2 linked regions of the Callithrix jacchus genome follow. The protein of the gene in region 1 binds, or shares a complex with, the protein of each later gene. Links are inferred from orthologs where the notes say so. Each region holds a gene or a part of one and is shown on either strand. Other genes may lie near its edges.

The links.
Region 2: the proteins of CDK5R1 (region 1) and CDK5 are in contact, whole or in part, in a crystal structure (PDB 3O0G), measured with the Homo sapiens proteins. The link is inferred for Callithrix jacchus from reciprocal best matches to the Homo sapiens genes CDK5R1 and CDK5. Residues at the interface, in NP_003876.1 of Homo sapiens: Trp190, Gln193, Thr197, Pro198, Ala199, Phe203, Tyr231, Leu232, Ser235, Tyr236, Met237, Gly238, Asn239, Glu240, Ile241, Ser242, Tyr243, Pro244, Leu245, Lys254, Glu255, Trp258, Asp259, Cys261, Leu262, Ile265, Asn266, Ser269, Ser270, Met272; in NP_004926.1 of Homo sapiens: Leu37, Asp38, Glu42, Gly43, Pro45, Ser46, Ser47, Leu49, Arg50, Ile52, Cys53, Leu54, Lys56, Glu57, Val69, His71, Leu76, Arg120, Asn121, Val122, Leu147, Arg149, Ala150, Phe151, Gly152, Ile153, Pro154, Arg156, Cys157, Tyr158.

The regions. Positions count from the first base shown.
Region 1 is NC_133506.1:101,619,964-101,624,978, forward strand, and holds the start of CDK5R1 (cyclin-dependent kinase 5 activator 1), read right to left. Parts: upstream 3,476-5,015; 5' UTR 3,439-3,475; intron 3,142-3,438; 5' UTR 2,999-3,141; coding exon 2,075-2,998; 3' UTR 1-2,074. UniProt on the Homo sapiens protein: p35 is a neuron specific activator of CDK5. The complex p35/CDK5 is required for neurite outgrowth and cortical lamination. Involved in dendritic spine morphogenesis by mediating the EFNA1-EPHA4 signaling. Activator of TPKII.
Region 2 is NC_133512.1:97,154,751-97,159,732, reverse strand, and holds the start of CDK5 (cyclin-dependent kinase 5), read right to left. Parts: upstream 3,342-4,982; 5' UTR 3,296-3,341; coding exon 3,259-3,295; intron 2,635-3,258; coding exon 2,546-2,634; intron 2,450-2,545; coding exon 2,382-2,449; intron 2,288-2,381; coding exon 2,227-2,287; intron 2,128-2,226; coding exon 2,071-2,127; intron 1,305-2,070; coding exon 1,209-1,304; intron 1,075-1,208; coding exon 1,000-1,074; intron 842-999; coding exon 745-841; intron 569-744; coding exon 499-568; exon of another isoform or gene 247-498; intron 1-246. UniProt on the Homo sapiens protein: Proline-directed serine/threonine-protein kinase essential for neuronal cell cycle arrest and differentiation and may be involved in apoptotic cell death in neuronal diseases by triggering abortive cell cycle re-entry. Interacts with D1 and D3-type G1 cyclins.

The DNA of each region.
Region 1 (5,015 bases):
GCAAATGGGTTCACTGCTTGCACACTCAAGTATTTATCAGTTGTTCCTTTACACAATACTGATGACCAGTGCAAGGGGAGAGAACAAGACAGGCTTCACACTGAGGGAACTAGAGAGTTCTTCCCTTAGTCCCCAACCACTTCGAGAAATGTCCACCTCCTCCAAAGAATAAAAAAATAAATACGAAGAGAAGGAAACAGACACAAAACTGGAATCCTGTGGATGCAATTTAACCGCACAGTTCCAGGCCAGGTTCCACCAGCTGAAGGTGACTACACACATGCCCCCTCCTCCTGAGACTTGGCACCGACCCTCCCTCTTCCATGCCACCAGGGGCCTCCCACCTCGGGTCGCACACAGGAGCAGGATCTGAAGACAGGCTGTGTGGAAACCCCAGCAGAGAGGAGGTGCTGTGTGAAGTCTGTGCCAGCAGCCACAGGCTCCTTCCAGCGCCGTACCAATTATCTGACAGTCCCAGGAACGGCTCTGCTGGGCCTCAGGTGCAGCTAGGCAGATGCTCTCCGGCCGGGCAGGCACTCCTCCCCACCTCTGGGAATGCTTCCGGCAACCAGGTTCTGCTCCGGGCCTCTTAAATTGGGACTTCAATTTCACAGCTTTCTTTTTGTGTGAATTTCAGTAGTGCTTGTGCTGAAACTGGTAGCCACATCAAACCTAATCCTATGAAAAGTGACCCTCTGCTTCCCCACCCCAGGTCCCCATTCCAGCACTCCCCTGGGGACTGGGCCTGGAAGACAGAATTCTCTGTAGCGTCTTCACATTCGTCTTTGTTCTCCACAGCCGAGGGATGGGCCGTGGAGGAAGGCTTGCTCCCTCTCCCAAGTCCCAAGCCACCAATACGGGAGAATTAGAAAATCGATAAAGTACACATCTTGTGTTTTTACAGCCAGTAGGGTAAGGTGGAAACCAGAACCAGCAGCTGCAAATGATCAGTTGTAGAAATCAGCAGACTTCCAGAGCAATCAGGAGTCTCACTCCCTTCTGGTAATTGTCTCCAAGATCCGGCTGTGTCACTGGTCCTTGCCGGGCAAGGCTTCCTCTTTAGAAGAAACTTAACTGTTTGGAAACAGCTTTAAATTAACAGGGTGGGGGTGGGGTCACCACATCACCTAACCCCCAGCTCTGCAAGACAAACGTCATGTGCACCAACAAGAGGCCTGAGCCCTTAGGTGGGCACCAGCTTGGTCTCAGGCCTAGCATCCCTCACCTGCCTAGAAGGCAGGCGCTGCTAATGGGCACCTGCAGCTGTCCTGGCATTTGCCACAGGGTGACTGCGCTGCATTATTCGAAAGAAAAATTCACCCAGGAAAGTTGTCCCCAGCTTCACCCCACTTCTTTAGCTGGGACCCAAAATGAGAGAAATTAATGAGTCAAACCAGCTCATTGGCCAATACCACCAATGTGGCTGGGAGCAGCAGACAAGGGGGTAGGGGGGGCGAGTTCCATTTCTCCACTAAAGGAAAGCCCTTCTCCCTAAAAAACAGCAAATCAGGATGATGCATGGTCAAATCTTTGCACTAGACCTGCTCAGCTTTGCCTCGCCTAGATTGAAGATGTCCCAGAGGCAGAGATCTTGCCTCACAACCCTACTGGTGGCTCAGTGAGGGAGTCTGGCTCCAGGAGCCTCTGGGAGAATGAACAACTCCACACAGGAGCCAGAAAAGGGCCTCCAACCAGAAATCCCAATTTCCTCCCTGGGCCAGGCAGCCAGAGGTCCCTCTCCAGCTTCAGCCAGGGTGCAGCAGGCAGCCTTGCCCAACCTGGATCCAGCGAGGGCACAGACGGTAGGAGCAGGTCAGTCCTTTGAGTTCCCAAAAGTGGGAGGTCAGTGGCCCGGGTGGCTCTGAATACATCTTCTGGGTTTTGCTCAAGGCTCGTGAGTTCAAAAGTGCCCAGAGTTCTTGGCAGGGCTGAAAAAAACCCCAGGGAGAGACTGTGGGAAAGGTGAGGCCCTTGGTGGCTTTGCTAGACACATACTGTACACAAAACTGATTTGCTTAATAATAAATTTTTAAAAATGCATTGAATCCTTGAGCCATGACGTAGGCTACAGTGCTCACCGATCCAGGCCTAGAAGGAGCCGCTTCTTGTCCTCCTGGCCGCTCTCATTCTTCAGGTCAGAGAAGACCTGTGTGAAGTAGTGTGGGTCGGCATTTATCTGTAGCATCTTGGAGCTCATGAGGTTGATGACAGAGAGGCAACGGTCCCAAAAGGCCTCCTTGCAGCTCTCCACCAGGAAGGGCTTGAGCGGGTAGGAGATTTCGTTGCCCATGTAGGAGTAGGAGAGGTACAGGCAGGTCAGCAGGACGGCCTGGAGCTCGTGATCTGAGCCCACCTCCGAGGAGATAACATCCCTGCAGAGCATGTAGAGGAAGACCACGTTGGCCGGCGTGATGAAGCCCTGGTCCTGCCAGCCCTGCAGAAGCAGCGAGCGGTCCACGCTGCGCAGCCAGAGCACAGGGTCCGTGGGAGACAGGTGCTTCAGGCGGTAGCACCGGCGGCAGAGAAACTCACCCAGGCAGCGCAACAGCTCGCTGGTGGACGCCTGGACGATGACCCGTTTGGGCGTCCCTGCGGAGGTGACGGCAGGGTGAGGGGCCTTCTTGACCGAGGAGGAGCCCCCAGTCTGGGAGCCCGAGAGCTGGCTGGCTGGGGGTGCGGGCGGCTGGGCCGGTGGGGGCTGGGCGAATGTGGACAGGTTGGCGCACGACAGCGACTTCTTCAGGTTCTCATTGTTGAGGTGCGTGATGTTGTTCTGGTAGCTGCTGTTGGGCTGCACCTTCTTGGAGTTCTTCTTCTTGGCCGACACGGCCACGATCCTCTTCCACGGCAGCACGGAGATGATGGAGTGGCGCTTCAGGTTCTTGTCCTTGGCGTTCTTGCTGTTCTGCACGGCCGTGTAGTGGCCCACGGTGGCCGCGCCATCCTCAAATAGCGTGGCCTTCCGGTAGCTGGGGGACAGGGACAGCACCGTGCCCATGGTGTCGCTGCGCGCCGGGCGGGGGCTCGCGCCCCTGCGCGCCCAGCCTGCCAGCCAGAGGGAAAAAACCGCTCACCGAGCCTGTGGCAGCCCCGGAAAGAGACGGGGGCGCTCCCGGGACGCGTGCTGCCCCTCGGATCTGCCTGGAAAACAAGATGGTTCTCAACGCCAGGCGGGGCTCCACGCCGCGCCCCTCCGCCCAGCGCCTCGTCGGCCCCCGCGACCCCAGTCCTGGGCCCTGCCCGCGCCCCCGCGCCGCAGCCTCGTCGCCTCCACTGCAGCACCCCCGCCCGCCGCCGCCGCTGCGGTCCCCAGGCGCAGCCGGGAGGGGCCCGGGCGCCAACGGAGGCGGCCGAGGACCCCCGCCTCGACACCCCGCGCGGCCGCGACCCTGGTCCCCACTCCCCGGGGCCAAGGACGGCCGCCCAGCACAGGCTTACCCGGCAGGCGGCGGTTCCTGCGCTCCGCGCCCTCCGCAATGCGCGCCGCGGTTCTGCCGCCGCGGTCCCGGCGCTGGGCGGCGCTCGGGGGCGCTCGGCGGGGCTCGCTCTCGGCGGCGGCGGCTCGGGAGCTTCTGTCCAAGGTTCTGCAGGCGCCGCGGCCCCGCCCCCCGCTCGGCCGCCCGCACCTTCGCCGCCGCCACCGCCGCCGCCGCGCTCGCGCTCCCGCTCCCGTTCCCGGCGCGCGCTTCAGCGCCCTCCCTCGCCGGGCGCGCGCACCGTCCACGCGCCGGCCTGGTCTTGCCGGGGAGCCGCGGCCGTGAGTGTCCTCAGCTCTGGCCGCGCACGGTGCGGGTAGAACGCGGCGGCGAGCGGGAGGCCTCTAGGCGCCGGGCCCCATCTAAAAGCCAGACTCGGCGGCAGCAGCGGGACACGGGGCGCTCGACCGCCCCGCCCCTCGGGGCCGCCCCTCCCGCACAGCTCACCGCCCGCTCTGCGCCGCCGCCCAGCAGCAGCACCGCCACCGAGTCCTGGGCGCCCGCACAACCCAACTCTGCCGACGCGGGGCGGACGCCGCGCAGGGCGGGGCCGAGAGCCGACCCCGCCCGCGCCCCGCCCAGACACGTGCTGCCTTTGTTCCCGCCGCGGCGCCCGCAGCTGCCGGCCGCGGGGGAGCTCTCGGCTAAGTCCCCGCCCTGGCCGCGGGCGGCCCGCGGGCTCCGCCGAGGAATGGGCCCCTAGCTCCCTCCTTACAGCTGACATTCCCGTACCTGGGGAAAGCTTCCAGGGAATGCAATGAAGAAGGCCCTGGGCGGGGAGAGGAGAGGCCTTTACTGAGGCCGCCCGAGTGCCACGGGAACCCCGAGTGGACAGTCCAGTCGGTTTTGGCCACCCCTCCGGGGCCTCCGTTCCGTCATCCTGGGTAGATGCCTGCGGCCCGGGTGAGTCTCAGAAATCCAAGCCAGAGAAGCGTGGCCCGTAGCAGTTCCAGCCAACCACGAGCCAAGCCTGAGCCCATCACAAATAAGACCTCGAAGTTCCCACTCACCCTCTTGTTATATTAAAGGTGAAGCAACTGACTCTCCGACCAGCCTTCTTACCCTCTTAAACGTTTTGATTCTAAGTATGTATAACGTAAGAAGATGCTAGCCAAATTGAGTAAAATTCTGGTTCCAAAAGAGCTGTTCCTGTCAGATGTGAATCCAGATATCTCACCATTGTTAATTTACTATTTTTATTTTACCTTGTTTCTGGAGATTGATTCAAAACTGACCACAAACCTGGGAAACAGGAGACTTAAGCCCTGTCTTAATGCAGATAGTCTCTGAACCTAGAGATGAGGGAGTGGCACTCCAGAGGAGAGGATGACACCCAATTCCCTGACCACTCCAGCCCACTAGACCTGACCCTGCGCCAGCCCTGTCAACTGCCCTAGGAAGAACAGAAAAGGAATCTGGCATCATTCAAGATGCTGCAAGCAAGTCAGGAAGTGATAGATTTTGCTTATGTGCCACTCAGAGATTTCTGTCAATGGGGAATTCAAGGCTTTAGGAACCTTGGGGGGCAGGCATATAGTG
Region 2 (4,982 bases), on another chromosome or scaffold:
TCCCCTCCTGGGAGGGATTCCTCATACCCACCACCCTCTTCTCTCACCCTCCCTTTACCCTCCGGCTTGGGCTTGACAGAAGCAGCCCCAGCATGTCACTCACACATCCAGCCGGTTCCCATGACAATCGCTAACTAGTCTAACCCACATGCTGATGGCCTAGTCTTCATGAACCAGTCCTGCCCCACTCCCACAAAACGTGTCCCTGCTCCCTTGGGCTCCTTCACCCTGGCATCCGTCTCTCACCTGGAGGGACATCCTCTTGACTTCGTCCCCCAGGGCACACTGCCCATCCTATAAGTGGCACCTTCTCCAGTGTGCATATGCTCTGTGACCATCAGGGCGTCCAGCACGCCTGCTCTCTCCCCTTGCCCTCAGGAGAAGCCCTATGGACCCCACCATCCCACCCCATATCATCACTGCCCTTGCCCATTGCGCTAAAACTCCATGGGCTCTCCCCTCCCAGAGGGCTCGAGGCAGAGGAAAATGGAAGGATATCGGAAGATCCTCTTTAACTGGTCATCAACATCATTGCCGGGAAAGAGAGGCCGCCCAGCATTGGCCAGCTCTGGAGGAAAGAGAGGGGCTAAGATGTGACATGTGAAGGACCCCTCACTCTGAGGGACTCCTGACCTTCCAGCCCGTCCCAGGGCCTCCCTTCCTTTCCCCAGCAGAGACCCTCCAGATCCTATTTGTCAACCCAAATGGGAAAGAAGGTGCCTCTGCAGTGCCCAAGCACATCACCTGCAAAGATGCAGCCGGCTGACCACATGTCGATGGACGTGGAGTACAGCTTGGCCCCAAAGAGGACGTCCGGTGGGCGGTACCACAGTGTAACCACCTGGAGGAGACCCCCCCCGACAGGGACCTCCCACTTAGAGGGCTGGGGAGGAGGTTCAAGGAGGAAGCTCAGAGAGGAGAGGAAAATAATGCTTTGGGTCCTGGGGTAGGAGCTGAGGGGCTCCCTCCCTCAACACCACATCCCAGCTGCCAGCTCACCTCAGCTGAGTAACAGCGGACAGGGATCCCAAAGGCTCGAGCCAGGCCGAAATCAGCTAATTTCAACTCCCCATTCTGAGGGGAATGGAAAGGGAACATGGCGAAGGGCCTTTGAGCAGCCTTGGGGCAGCACAGGCTCCATCCTCCCAGTCCTGTTCCCCCAGGCCCTGGTCCTAGCCTCCCCTTCCCCACCTTCTTCCCAAAAGTACCCTGTTGATTAGCAGGTTCTGGGGCTTCAGGTCCCTGTGCAGCACATTGCGGCTATGACAGAATCCCAGGCCTTTTAGCAGCTGGAAGAGGAATGACTGGGGGAAGAGCAGGGAGCAGGGAGTCAGACACCCTGAACATAACTGTGGCCAGCAACTGGCCGGCTCCTCTCCTCACCCTGTGCTTCACTACACTCCACCCACCTTCCAGCACCTGGCTCAGAGTGACACCATTCATTTGCCATCCAGGACCTGCTTTGTACTGTGCTAGGCATTTGAGGGACAACAGTAAACAAGCTGGCCCTGGTCCCCACCTTCCTGAACCATACAGCCTAATGGGCCTTGCCCAGTGGGTCCTAGATCTTGCCTAGATCCCAGCCCATGATCTTCCCTTCCTGGATGCATCTGAGTATGCACACCATGACCATCCACATCAATATCATGGTGTAGTATCATTCAGGACTGGCTCTCCTGGAACCTGGACCAAGGCATTTGATCTTGGGCCCAGAAAAGCACCTGACACCCAGTGAAGCATTCAGTAAGTATGTGTTGAATGAATGAATGTATCTCCTTGAACCTCATTTTCTCATCTCTCGGGTGTAAATATCATTGATGTTACTGATGTCAACATCATATGATGTCCCTCTAATGTGGCCAGATTGGTGTCTGAGAGCCACTGTGCAGGTCAAAGACAACCACGTGAAAATGCTCTCTAGGAGGCCCCTGCGGGGCAGAAACAGGGTTTTCTCTTCCTCTGACACCCTAGAGCGTGCCTGTTCAGGGCCCAAACTTGGTGCCCAAGGAGTGCTTACACTGAAGGCAGACTTAGACCCCAGCCTGAGGGGTCCCCCAACACTCTCCTCACCTTTACAATCTCAGGATCGAGGTCACCATTGCAACTGTCAAAATACTTCTTCAGGTCCTAAAAAGGGATATGAGTGGAGGAATGGGACAGAGTTTAACCTCAGTCTGGGCCCCTATACCTTCCCAAGGCTACTGTCCCCCAAATCCCGCCTTTCACCTGGTCACAGAATTCAAAAACCAAAGTTAGCTTCTTGTCACTGTGCAGGACATCATGAAGCCTAGGGCAAAAGAAGGGCTCAGCCAGGCACGTCTTCCTGACAAATGTCCCAGGTCAGCCCCCACCTCCCCCAAGCAGCCACACCTCCCGCACACCTGACGATGTTCTTGTGCTTCAGCTCCTTGAGTAAGCAGATCTCCCGGAGGGCTGAACTCGGCACACCCTGCATGTGTGAGGGGGCCAGGTGGGCAACAGTCAGATCCCACCCAGCCCAGGCCTTCAACCCCCTCCCCAGCCTCTATCCCAGTCCGCAGCCTACCTCATCATCGTCATCCAACCTCACCCGTTTCAGAGCCACGATCTCATGCGTCTCCCGATTTTTGGCCTTGAACACTGTTCCGTAGGTGCCTAGGGGAAGGAGGTCAGGGGTCAGGGGAGAGGATGGCGCACTCTTCCCTAACCCAGGAAATGCCTCCCCCTGGGAGGTGAAGGCAGCGTCTGAGTGTGCAAGGGAAGGGATTCAGGGTGAAGGCAGGTGGGAGAGCTTTATGAGTGAGGATGTGGCAGGTGGGGAGGGAGAAGGTGCCTGCGGAGGCTCCAGGGGCTCGGCAGGACGACTGCGGCTGCCAGGCAAGGATGTCTATAATGAAGGCAGTGCTCACTATAATGAAGGGTCTGGAAATAGTGAGGAGGTGTCTGGGAGAGGACTGAGGGTCTGCAGCAAGAACCGAGGCTGGGGGTCGGGGTGAGGTTGTCCAAGTGGTGCTGAGGCTAGGGTGAGAAATTCAGGAAGTGTCGCGGTTGGGAGGTCGGGTCTACTGGGAACGCTAAGGTTGGAGTGGGAGCCTACGGGAAATGCTAACACGGGAAGATTGGTGTCTGGATGGAGTGCTGAGCTCGGGGGGCCAGGGCTGCAGCCGCTGTTGAGGTCGGAGCCTGTAGGTACTGCTGACGGTAAGAAAGCCAGGGCTGCAAGGAATGCCGAAGGGTATGCAGAGGAGCTCTTGCAGGAACATCTCGAGATTCCATTACCTTCTCCAATCTTTTCCAGTTTCTCGTATTTCTGCATCGCGGCGGCCGCGGGGACCCTGCGGGCCCTCGGTTTTTAAGACTCTGGCCCTGGCGTTGCAGAGGAGGCGGTACCCCAGCCTCCAGCCCCGCCCCGCCTGCCCGCGCACGGCCTTCTGGGGCTTGTAGTCCTAAGACGACAAGGTTTCCCTGCAGTTCCCGAGGCCGAGGACAAGAAAACTACAACCCCCAGCCGGCTGCGCTCAGGCTCTCTGCAGCACTTGACTCCCGGGCTCTGGTTCCAACGCGGAGGCAAACCCTGGACTTCAAGTCCCAGGGAGCCACGCGTGTCCGTTTTCCGGGCGCCCCGCCGCTGCGCTGCGGTTCCCAGTGTGCCCCGCTGTTGTTATTTCTTTTATGTGTTCCCAGACCTCTTGAAAAGGGCCGCTCCGGGACTACGCGTTCCAGAATGCAGCGGGGATGGGGGCGGAGCGCTGTCCCTTAGGGGTTTGGGGTTTGGCGTTTGGCGGCCTAGAGCCCGGGCCCTGGCGGCCCAACTCTGACCTTGTTGGTGGCCTTGAGTTCCCGACGGCCTCCTGACGACCTCAGCACAGGTTTCCACCTCTCCCCAAGCCACCTAGTGACCCCAAGATTGACTGGGGAGTGCCTTTGAGCGATGATGACCTCACAGGGAACAGCTGACGGCAGGGCTGGAAATATAACAGGTGTGCCTTTTTGAGGCTGGATTTTTAGTGAAGGGGTACACTCCAAAGACCCTTCTCTCCGCTGCACCCCGTTTGTTGTCTCAGCCTTCACTCGACTCCAGCCGCTGAACTCTGATATGCTGAGGCTAGCTGGGTGGAGCCCTGGGGGGGGGTCTCCCTAGACCCCAGTCTCCGGAGCAGGGCCCACTGGAGTCAGCCAGGGTGTGGCCGGCAGGTTGGTTAACCCCCTCCACAGACAAGACCACAGACAGGTGCTCAACTTGCACCAGCCTCTACCTCATCCCTTAAAGGAGTTGATTATAGATTCCGTTGCATTGCCTCTCTAATTGTCTCATGATTGCATTCTTGAGGGCTATGGACTGAGGGAAAAGGATCCCAAACAGCGCTCCTCAGCATCGGAATCAGAGTTGCTGCCAAACACGTATTAACTAACTCGTTTTTATCTGAACGCTTTTGCATACACAATGCTATGCTTCACGTGGCCGACTGGAGAAAAGAAGCGAAAAGTATATGCCTTATCTGGAAGACTTGGTGATTTCGTTGGGTAAACAAAAACTACACACAAAGGTCTTGAATGATAAATGATGGCTATGGCTAGGGTTGATTCAGTGTGAAGGTTCCATTCAAGAGTAAGGAGGCCACCACAGGGAATCTCTGTCCCTCTCAGGAAGTGGGGGGGGCGCCTAACAAGTTGCCCTCTCCCAGGTCAGCTCAGGTACTGAGCGGGTACTGGGCAGCCACCCTTCTCACCCGCTCGCCACCTGAGGCTTTCTTGGAGGCACTGGACTTTCTTGGACGTACGGGGGTTATTTGAGAGCGGGGGGCGGAAGAGAATCTCGACCCCGGTACGTTTCTATTTCGACTTCCTCCGCCCCGAATTTCCTGGCCATCCTTGTGCCTGCGTTTTCCTGCCTGGAATCCCCAGCGCGAGGCGGGATCTTTTCCACTCAGAGGTGCAGTAATTGAGCCAAGAGACGGAATCCCCCGGACGCCTGAGCCCCGAGTAGAGAATCTCAGGGCAGA